2 linked regions of the Oryctolagus cuniculus genome follow. The protein of the gene in region 2 binds, or shares a complex with, the protein of the main gene of each other region. Links are inferred from orthologs where the notes say so. Each region holds a gene or a part of one and is shown on either strand. Other genes may lie near its edges.

Region 1 (5,376 bases), on a different chromosome or scaffold from region 2:
AAAATAATGCACTCTGGTAATAACTAACTCATTCCTACAGTACCCCAAACCAGCATGAATCCCATCAATGAGAGCAGTACCTGCTAATCTAATCACCACTTAAAGGTCCAGCTTCTTAATACTATTATAATGGCAATTAAATTTCAATTTTGGAAGGGATTTTTAAATCATTGCAAAGTATAGCCTCAAATAGGACCTTTTGTGCCACATCCAGATGTATCCCTGTCACATCTCTAGATATATCTCTTGACATTAGGAATAACCCAAATTGCAAAGGTAAATCAGGATGTTAATTTCAAACAAGTGTGAATAGGAATTGTACTTGAAGTAATAAAGCTTTTTACACAGAAGAAGAAGAATTGACTTGGGAGTTCATTTCTTCAAATAACAGAAATTCTGTTATTGGCCTTTTCTTTTTTAAGATTAACTTTATTTACTTGAAAGGCACAGTTACAGAGAGAGGAGAGACAGACATACTGAGAGAGAGAGATCTTCCGTCTGCTGGTTCACTTCCGAAATGGTGGAAGCCAGGAGCCTGGAGCTTCTTCCGGGTCTCCCACAGGGAAATTGAAAAGAAAGGGGGAAATAGTACTTTAGTATGATCAAGGACTAAGCACCAGTGAACAGAAAACTTGTTTCAGACTTTGTAAGGACTGTTTTGCCCCTGCTTCTAGAGTGTAGTTAAGACTCCAGGAGTCACTACATAAAGATAAGGGTATTTACCGGAGGTCTGCACTTTGGTGAGTTTGGATTCTCGTTTCTTTCTCACGCACTCTATGAGACTAGCAGAAGTTCCACTGAAACTTCTAAGACTCCATTCTCTCCGGAATTTTTGCTTCCCAAGTCTTGGATATTTTCAAAGTCTAAACTTGAATTTAAGTTTCCCTACCCCTTGACTTCTCTGTCTCATGGTAGGCTTCCTTTGTGGGCTTCTTAGGCTATTAGAAGTCTCTTGCCCATTTTGACTTGAGATTCAACTCATGTCCTCAGGTTTACAGTAACTCAAAGAATGTTAAGCTCACCTCAGTGAGCTGGTGTGTCATCATTTATTCCATTTTATTTATTTTAGTGAAGGCAATATTGCAGTTATGCATTTGAATGAATATTTTACTGTGGATAGTGAAAAGTTTAATAAGTTACAGATTTTTCATTAAAAGGAAAGTACAATACTAGCATGCACATTGAACCCTAAACTCGAAATACTGGATTTTAAGACTCAAAATGAAAAACTACATGAAGAAAGGCATTTACAAAACTCAATAATGTTTCTCATTTTACATTTATTTTCTCTTGTCTAACAAGCCTTTTCGGATGACTGCAAGTAAAATAAAATAGTGTCTTAAAAGTCATTCACTTATATTTGTTTATGAATATAATCAAAACACAGCTAGATGTGTAATTTCTGCCACTATAGATTATGAATCAGTTACTAACATAGAAGTGAACCCAGCTGCATACTCTAACCAGAGTGTTAGATGGCAAGTCAAGAATTAGCAACAAAATTTCTGGATTCCTTTCTTCCTTATGCCTTCATTTTCTTATTAGAAAGAATTACCTTTGAGGCTGGGATGGAGATATATATATATATATATATATACACATATATATATATATATATCAATGGAAGGTCCTGTGTAATTGTCAAGGAAAAAGGACTAATATTTTGAATTTTTTTATTTATTTGAAAGATAGAAAGAGATAGAGATAATCTTCTATCTGCTGGTTCACTGCCCAAATGCCCACACAGCTGGAACTGGGCCAAGCTGACATCAGGAGCTGGGTGCTCAGTCTGAGTCTCCCACATGGGAGGGACCAAATTACTTAAGTCGTTAACTGCTGTCTACCAGGATGCACAATAGCAGGAAGCTAGAATCTCAAGTGAGCCCAGACACAAACCCATGCACACCAATACTGTGTGCTTTCCAATTGTTGTCTTAACTGCTATGCCAAATGCCCAACCCAAGGGCTAATTTTTGATTTTTCTTTTGTTATTTGGAAACCCTAAGAATTTACTTCTCAAACCTCCAACAACCTGAAACAGGAACCCGGGCCCTAGCTGCTGTGCTCTGAAACCCATTGCTGCTTTTGTGCTTAAGACCTATTTCCCAAGGCTGTTCCTAGCCAGCGACTGAAGCCTACGCACCCTCTCAACCCCTGGAAGTCAAAGCACTCCCTCGTGAACTTGTTGAACCTTCCTTAGACTGTACAGCAATCAGGCATGACTCCACTTAACCTTCCTTGCCTCTGTTCCCCGCTGAGGATTAGAGTTGCACTGTGGTCTGTCAGCTTTCCCAGTTTTCCCTGGCTCTCTCCCCATTTTCTCTTACCAGAATCTCCCTTAATGAAACTGTTGCTTATTTGGCATCTGTTCTCAAATGCTCGAAACTAACATTCTCCTACTTTTTCTACAGCTAGATAGTGTCATACGAAATTTCTAAGGAGAAAAAGATGATTGCTATAACTTTACTGACAATATTCTTGTAGTACTAGATTTTTAAGATTAGGAGAGATAAAACTTCATGAAAATCTGCAGTTTTTCAGAATTTTTTTCTCATATTAGTTTATACTGATATTCTTGCTGTCAGAAGGTAGTAGTAGATCTATTTGTTGCATATATTTTGGTAGACCTTGCTTTCCTTTTACGTGATTTATTCAGGAGTATTTATTAGTGTTAAAATAATACTGTTTTTCTTTACAGAGTTACAGTGAAAGATTCGTTTTCATTGTGGAGTGGTATGATCCAAATGCTTCACTTCTTCGGCGCTATGAGCTTTTGTTTTACCCAGGGGATGGATCTGTTGAAATGGTAAATGCACCTTTTTTTTTTTTTTTTTTTTATGTGAAAGCTAGCAAAGGGGAGGCAGGTGGGATAGAGAAAGTTTTTTTTTTTTTTTATGCAGTTACTTTTTTTAAGATTTATTTATTTATTTGAAAGTCAGAATTAGACAGAGAGAGAAGGAGAGGCAGAGAGAGAGAGGTCTTCGACCATGTACTGGTTTACTCTCAACTGGCCGCAATGGCCATAGATGGGCTGATCTGAAGCCAGGAGCCAGGAGCTTCTTCTGGGTCTCTCACGTGGGTGCAGGGGCTCAAGGACTTGGGCCATCTTCTACTGCTTTCCCAGGCCATAGCAGAGAGCTGGATTGGAAATGGAACAGCCGGGACTCGAACCAGCATCCATATAGGATGCCAGCACTGCAGGCGGCAGTTTTACATGTCACTCCACAGCGCCAGCCCCTGCAGACTATAATATATATATATATGTTTGTGTTTATTTTATTGTTTTTGTATATTCATTATAGTACCATACAGGAATATAACTGTGCCTTTATTTTTAATGTCAAAAATAAGAATTTTTCTTAGAAAACTGAACTGGGATTATTCATGTTTTGGATTAAGCAATAATCAATAAATAGTTTAAAGATTATCATCATCACAATATGTTGCCATCATTGAAATATATTATGTCTACAAAAGTAAAATTTGAAGAGGACTGAGCTAAGAGGGCCCTGTTTATTTATTGTGATCCCTCATTGGAATTGCCTTCAATGAATGGGTATATTTGATGTTGCAATTTTGTGTACTTAAGAAAGCAGCAATTTGGACATGTGGCTATCTTTTTTTTGGGATTTGGTAGGCCCTAAATTACTGAATGATTTGGCTAAAAAAAATTCTTTTTGAAAATATTTAGTTGTAGGGCCAGTGCTGTGGCGCAGTGGGTTAACGCCCTGGCCTGAAGCGCTGGCATCCTATATGGGCGCTTGTTCGAGACCTGGTTGCTCCACTTCCCATCCAGCTCTCTGCTATGGCTTGGGAAAGCAGTGGAAGATGGCCCAAGTCTTTGGGTCCCTGCACCCGCTTGGGAAACCCGGAAGAAGCTCCTGGCTCCTGGCTTTGGATCGGCGCAGCTCCGGCTGTTGCGGCCAATTGGGGAGTGAATCATCGGATGGAAAACCTCTCTTTATCTCTGCCTCTCCTCTCTGTGCAACTCTTTCAAATAAAAATAAATAAATCTTTAAAAAAATTTAGTTGTAATAAGAGGTTTTTAAATTATTACTAGATTAGATCATGGAATCCAAAATTAAAATCAGGGAATTAAAAATTAGAATGTGAAAAAAATGGGATTTGTATTTGCTGCGAAGAAGAAATGGAATGTAACTTGTCTGATGGCAGAAAGGAGAATTTCCATCTTGTAATAAGATTAGCATTCCTATTGATAACTATTTTTTAATTATATTGCTGTTGGTTCTAGCATGATGTGAAGAATCATCGCACCTTTTTGAAGCGGACCAAATATGATGACCTGCGCTTGGAAGATTTATTTATTGGCAACAAAGTGAATGTCTTTTCTCGACAATTGGTGTTAATTGATTATGGAGATCAATATACAGCACGCCAACTGGGCAGTAGGAAAGAAAAGTAAGAAAACAATTTCGTAATTTGTTTTTCACTATTAAAACATTATGTGTAAGCCATGGTACCAATTTCTAATTTCCTGTTGCTGTCTTGTGTTTTCACAGTACAGAGATTTTTTTCAGTAATCTACTTCAATGTTGATGACATTTTTAGAAATTTTATTAAGTAAATTCTGTGATTTGTTCATCAGTGAGAATAACAAAGTGATATCCTCAGTCTTAGGCAGTGACTATTTCCTGGGGAGAAAAGTACAAAATTCTCATATGTTCCATCATTCATTCTTAGTAAAATAAATGTCATTTGGGAACTAAGAATATCTGAATATAAAAAAATCTTGGTGCTTAAGGTAAACTTGACTTATGGGGAAAAAAGTAGTGAGTATCAAAAGCTCAATAGAAACTCAAAAGAAATAAAAGATACTTCTTATGCAAAGCTTTGTGGAAGGTTTGACCTGCATCATAAAAAATGGATTGAATTGGCCGGCACCGCGGCTCAATAGGCTAATCCTCCACCTGCGGCACCGGCACACCAGGTTCTAGTCCCATTCGGGGCGCCGGATTCTATCCCGGTTGCTCTTCTTCCAGTCCAGCTCTCTGCTGTGGCCCAGGAATGCAATGGAGGATGGCCCAAGTGCTTGGGCCCTGCACCCGCATGGGAGACCAGGAGAAGCACCTGGCTCCTGCCTTCGGATCAGCGCAGTGTGCTGGCTGCAGCGCGCCGGCCGCAGTGGCCATTGAGGGGTGAACCAACAGAAAAAGGAAGACCTTTCTCTCTGTCTCTCTCTCTCACTGTCCACTCTGCCTATCAATCAATCAATCAATAAATAAATAAAACCTTTAAAAAAATGGATTGAATTTTTACCCAGTTAGATGAAGTAAGGTCAGAGGAATGAGTATAACCAATGGTACAGAAGCGAGAAATTCTATGTCTTATACTAGGCAGAACCTAATTATTCTGCTT
Region 2 (5,476 bases):
GGCAGACTTGGAGCAGTGCGGCCTCTCAGGCAGGACCAGCGTCAGCTCACAGACATGTCCTCGTGCAGGAGCCAACAGCGCTCCCCACGCCACGGGGCCTGCAGGAGCCCAGGGCAGAGGGAAGGTGGAGACGAGGCAGCGAGACAGTCCCACGCTCTGCCAGTGCCTGAGTGCAAGGCCTCTGGGGGCTGCAATGGGCAGCTGCCAGGGCAGCGAGGAGAGGAGAGGCCAGGTCAGGGCCAGCTGGCCCGGGACACTGAGGGCTGCTCTTACTGACTGGTCCGTGGTGAGGGGGGTGTAGCCGGTCATGAGGAAGTGGAGCCGGGGCGTGGGGATGAGCGAGGCGATGAGGCCGATGAGGTCGTTGTTCATGTAGCCGGGGTAGCGCAGGGTGGTGGTGCTGGCTGACATGATGGTGGACACCTGGGGACAGGGGTGCTGTGTCATGGGCCTGGCCTGGGTAGGACCCCTCCCCCCTCCCCCGACAGTCCTCCCTCAGGGAGGACTTCCAGTGGGAAGGAGTGCAGAGGTGGGCTCACCAGCTGGTTGATCTGGGAGAAGGATGGGTTCTGGATGTGCAGGCGGTCCGTGGCTATCCGGTTCAGGGCTGTGTTGTCCAGCACCACCTGGAGGGGACAGACAGGGTGGCATAGACATGAAATATTGGCTGAGCACCTGCTAAGCTGTAAAGGCAGTCAGTAGCTTTGCTAGTTTACAAGGAAAGCATTCTTTGGGGGTATTATGAGTCCCTCTGGACAGTGCAGGGCAGTAAACAAATCTGTGAGTGTCCTCTGTGCCACACTTTGTGCCTGGGTCTGGAGTGACCACAGAGTGAAAACGGGCACGGTCTTGCCCTCGCCAGGCCTCCAGCCTAGTTGAGGGAGGCTGACATTGAATACAGAACAGAAAAAAGACGCTGTTAACCTGAAATATGACAAAGGAAGCTGACCTTGACTGGGTAGGCAGCGAAGTTTCACTAAGACAGTGACCCCTGAGCTGGAGCTGAAACGTGAGCAGGCACTGAGTGGGCTGAGTGGCTTATGTGGTGGCAGGGGGAGGCAGTCCCTGTGCTGGGGGACTGGCTGCCTAAAGTCACATAAGCACCCTGGAGGTTGCGACCTTACTTCGCAGTCCGACCACGGGTCTGGCTTTGGTGGTTCTTTTTGTGCTGGGCAGGGCAGGGCAGGCTGGCTGTGACTCAGGGGGGTCCCACAGCCCTCGACTCCCTCTTCTTTTGCTCACCACGCAGTCTGCGTTCTGAGTCAGCCGCTTGAGCGTGAGGAGCGAGTTGTAGGGCTGGACCACCACGTCGCTCATCTCGTCCTGGTTGGGAAACACTGAGTAGGTCTGCACCAGCTTCTTGGGGTACCTGAGGGTGAAGAAGAAGGAAAGGGGGAGGGTGGCACAGAGAAGCAACAGGACTTACCGGACTGCTCACTCTGTCTTCTGTGGGGACAATGGGCACCACGATTTTCGTGTGCCACCAAGCTCTTGTACAGTAGCAGGGTAAGGGCGGGACTCAGTCTTCAGAATGAACAGGATAAGCTGCAAGCATCAAACTCTAGATCTCCCCTGTCCCCAGGTGCCCCCCCCCCCAGGTGTTGGTTGCTGCCAAGGTTACCTGGGTGGGTCTGTCTCTAGGACTCAAAAGCAGTAGGGGCAGGCCTTCCCGCTCAGAAGGAAAAGGGGACCCGGGCTAATGCCCTCCTAACAAACACCGGCCTACCTGTCATTCAGCCGTTCCAGGAGGTAGGAGCCCATGCCAGAGCCGGTCCCCCCGGCAATGGAGTGACACAGCACGAAGCCCTGTGTGGGAGTGAAGGACAGGCAGTGACCAGGGACCTGGGCAGGGGGAGGGGGAGGCTGCCAGCTTGTCTCATTCCCCACCCACTCGCAACACACTCGTGCCTCAAGGCTTCCTCTGTGTCCGTCCAGGCCGAGGCTCCTTGGGAAGACTCAGGGCTTGGGGACAGGCTGAGGGATTCACACCCTCCAGGCTACGGCTTCCCTGAGAACAAGGACTGCACCTTATCTACCTCAAGATCCCAAACCAGATGCTCAACAAATGGGCCTGGAATTGGACTGCCACCATCCCAGGGCCTGCTCGGGCCACCGCCTGACCCCCAACACGCCGCAGCCCCTCTCCGCTGCACCCCACGGGAGCTGGGGAGAAGCTCACCTCAAGACTGTCGCTTCCGTCCGCTTCCCGGTCTATGATGTCGAAGATGTCCTCGTGGATCTTCTCACCCTGGACAGAGACATGGCAGAGAGTCAGGTCCAAGGTTCTCTGTTCAGCAACAAGAATTCCACAAGGGAGGGCGGCGGGGGAGGGCTTTGTGACCCCCCTGAAGCAGAGCTTCAGCTCTTGCCCTCAACGCAGAAATGATACTTTGTGACTTGTACAAAATTTGCATAAAGCTCTCCCTGGCTGTCCCTTTGTCAAAGCATCCCTTTATCTCTTACGTATCAGAAATCTGTTCTGGTCAAATTCCCAGGTTGCCTGAGCCTGCCTTGCCCCAGGGTGGGACTATCCAAGGGTCCCCGGCTTGGACACCTGGGAGAATCCCCTGGCCCAGTTGTTGCCAGCTCCTCCTCCGTGCTCAGCCAGGTAGATGTTCTCCGGGTTGTAGAGCTTGGCGTAGGGAGAGTTGAGGATGGAGTGGATCACCCGGGGCTCCAGGTCCAGCAGCACGGCCCGCGGGATGTAGTGCTCATCATCGGCCTGCCAGCGAGAGGCCGGGAAGGGGCGGCCCCGTCAGCCGGCGCCACCGCCGGCCCAGGCCCCAGTCCAGTCCCACTCGGGCTCCTGCCGGGCCTCCCTCCCCGAGCCAGCCGCGGGGCCCTGTGCCCAGCGGGCTCCCCAGCACCAGCCCCTGCCCCGTCCCTTCAGGCCCCCGGGGTCCTGGCCCAGCCGCCGGGGGCACCTGGTAGAAAAAGACGTCCTTGCGGTCCGTGCCCTCGGTGGCGAACTCCTCCACGATGCCCTCGGGGCTGATACCATGCTCGGCGCACAGCTGTTTCCAGAACTCGAAACCAACTGGGGAGAGGGGAGACGCCCGGGTCTGCGAGAGCCGAAAGGCCTGGGCAGCTCAGCGTCAGGCTCTGAGGCTGCCACTCTCGGAGCGTGCGCCCAGGACGCCGGCTCTGGGAGCCGTCACAGCCCAGGGCCTGCGTGGTCATGCGCAGTAGGGCAGGGGGTTCACGAGAGGGAGAGGGGACCCGGTGGGAACCAAGCACTCCCGTGGACCCCGAAGGGGCAGAACGAGAGAGTGGCGGGGCCCGGAGCTCGCTTGCTCACTCTGGTTGCCGCACTGGCCCAGCTGCAGGGTGATGATCTCCCGGGGCATCGCTCTGCGGACACGGGCCCGGCGGGAGTCACGGCCGAGACGAACGCCCGGCAGCCGGGCGCGCAGGACGTGGGCAGCGCGCGCTCCCCTCGCCTCTCGACGCGAGCGCTCGGTCTGCGCGTGTGCAGTGCGGGCGTCTGCTCCGCCGGCGGGCCGCGGAGCCCAACCTGGGCATCATTTTCCCCCATGGCAGGCGCAGCTGGAATTCGGCACAGGCGCAGAGCGAGGCCACGCCCCCGCCTGCCCACCTCTCCGCGCCTGCGCCCTGAGACTGGCGGGGGCTCGCAGGGTCGCGACCTTAGGCTGCGGGCAGGTGGGGAGAGGACGGCTGGGTGCACTAGGTAGTCCGGGTGTAGGTCCTGATGCCCTAAGGACTGTCAGCTCCGCTGGGGCCTGGGCTGGATCCAAGGCAACTTTCTTCCTTTAAATTTCTATTTTTCTAAAATTGTTTGACATACTCGTGCACAGCATAAAATCCATCATTTCAACAGTTAACAGACATTAAGTATACTCGCATTGTTCTGTACCCATCAGCACCCTCCATTTTCAGAGCATTTTCTCTTTCCCAAACTGAAACCTTACCCATTAAACAGCAACTTCCCGTCTTCGGCGCAGACCCTGGAAGTCACCATTCTTTCTCTATTAAAGCTGAATAATATTCCGTGGCATAGATACACCACATTTGTTTATCCACTCAAACCTCGGCGGACACTTGTTCCACCTTTTGGCCATTTTGAATAGTGCCCCTTTGGACGCGGGTGTACAGATATCTATTTAACTCCTTGCTTGCATACCCGGAAGTAGGATTGCTGATAACTGTGTCTAATTGAGGAATCGCCATACTCTTTTCCACAGCAGCTGCACAAGATTACGTTCCCACTGGCAGTGCTGAGGGGTTCCAGTGTTATCTCCAGCAACACTTGTTCCTCGCTAGCTTTTGATCATAGCCTGGGTGTGAAGTGGTATCTCTGAGGCTCTGTTTTACTCTAAATTACCGGAAAGGTGACATAGACAACATAATTTTATATTTTTACCATCTATTTTTGTGTTTTGAAATTTATATAAATGATACCAAAGTATAATATCAGAGAAAAGCAGCTTGCTTTTTTCACCTTACATTAGGGCTTTTTGTGATGTAGCCGTGTTAATATGGGTAGATTTAGTTCATCCCTTTTAACTGCTGTATTGTATTTCAGTGGACAAACAAAAGCAGTTTATTCTACTTCCAAACGAGTGGGGTTAGATTGTTCTCAATTAGTGGAAGGCCAGATGGGAAAGGGTGATTAACCGATACTAAGTTATAGTTAGACAGGAGAAAGGCATTCTGGTGTTGAATTGGCCTGTGGGGTGACTATGGATGACAGTAAAGTATTGTTTGCTTTCTTAAAAAGCTAGAACCCTCAAGAGCTGATAAATGTTTGCAGAGACAGATATGTTTTCTGTGGTTTGAACATCACACCATGTACGCGTTTGGAGATGTCACATAGTACTCCATACAATGCACAGTTTTGATGTTTTTTAAAGATTGTTCTCAATAACCCCCCACCACAGGGGCACAGGAGCTGCCTGCCTACGAACAGGAAGCGCCAAGTCTCTGTGGAGGCTTGCACAGCTTGGGGCTTATTCCTGACCGGCTGCACTCTTCCCAGCCCGAGTTGTTTCCCACAGGCGCACCTGCTCTTGGGCTGCCAGGTACTGGTTTTGTCAGTTCCACAGAGGCTGAAGGGGATCTGGAGGGTGGAATGCCCAGTCGCGATGCCGGGCGAGGGCCACTCGCTTTCCTTTTGGGGATGCCTCCTCTGGGACCTGCCCGTGGGTAGCCCTTGCCCGTTTATCTTAGACATTTGCAGTCAGTTCCGCACATCCACCCTTGGACAGCTTGCAGATATCACCTGGGCCTCGTCTTCACATCGAGAAGTGTGTCTTGCCACAGGGACGCTGTCAGTTTTACTGCGGACTTTCCCTTTGTTTCGAGAACTTAAGGAAGCCCCCACCCCACCCCACCCCGGCCCCTACTCGCAGTATCTTCCCTGCTTGCACAACAGTTTTCGCGTGTTCCCGGTAGGTCTCCGGGGCATCTGGAATTTATTTGAGATAGGGAGCTACTTTATTTCTTCCATATGCATGCT

Evidence for each region. The genes of interacting proteins can lie anywhere in the genome.
Region 1: TUBG2 (region 2) and NME7 share a complex: the UniProt entries of both Homo sapiens proteins name them as parts of the gamma-tubulin ring complex. The link is inferred for Oryctolagus cuniculus from reciprocal best matches to the Homo sapiens genes TUBG2 and NME7.

What each region holds. Positions count from the first base shown.
Region 1 is NC_091438.1:29,400,952-29,406,327, forward strand, and holds part of NME7 (nucleoside diphosphate kinase homolog 7), read left to right. Parts: intron 1-2,565; exon of another isoform or gene 2,566-2,588; intron 2,589-2,698; coding exon 2,699-2,806; intron 2,807-4,252; coding exon 4,253-4,419; intron 4,420-5,376. UniProt on the Homo sapiens protein: Possesses an intrinsic kinase activity. Displays 3'-5' exonuclease activity with a preference for single-stranded DNA. Does not seem to have nucleoside diphosphate kinase activity.
Region 2 is NC_091448.1:20,230,366-20,235,841, forward strand, and holds the start of TUBG2 (tubulin gamma-2 chain), read right to left. Parts: upstream 3,544-5,476; 5' UTR 3,348-3,543; coding exon 3,299-3,347; intron 3,038-3,298; coding exon 2,925-3,037; intron 2,723-2,924; coding exon 2,555-2,722; intron 2,249-2,554; coding exon 2,180-2,248; intron 1,807-2,179; coding exon 1,727-1,806; intron 1,370-1,726; coding exon 1,243-1,369; intron 627-1,242; coding exon 540-626; intron 424-539; coding exon 274-423; intron 1-273. UniProt on the Homo sapiens protein: Tubulin is the major constituent of microtubules, protein filaments consisting of alpha- and beta-tubulin heterodimers. Gamma-tubulin is a key component of the gamma-tubulin ring complex (gTuRC) which mediates microtubule nucleation.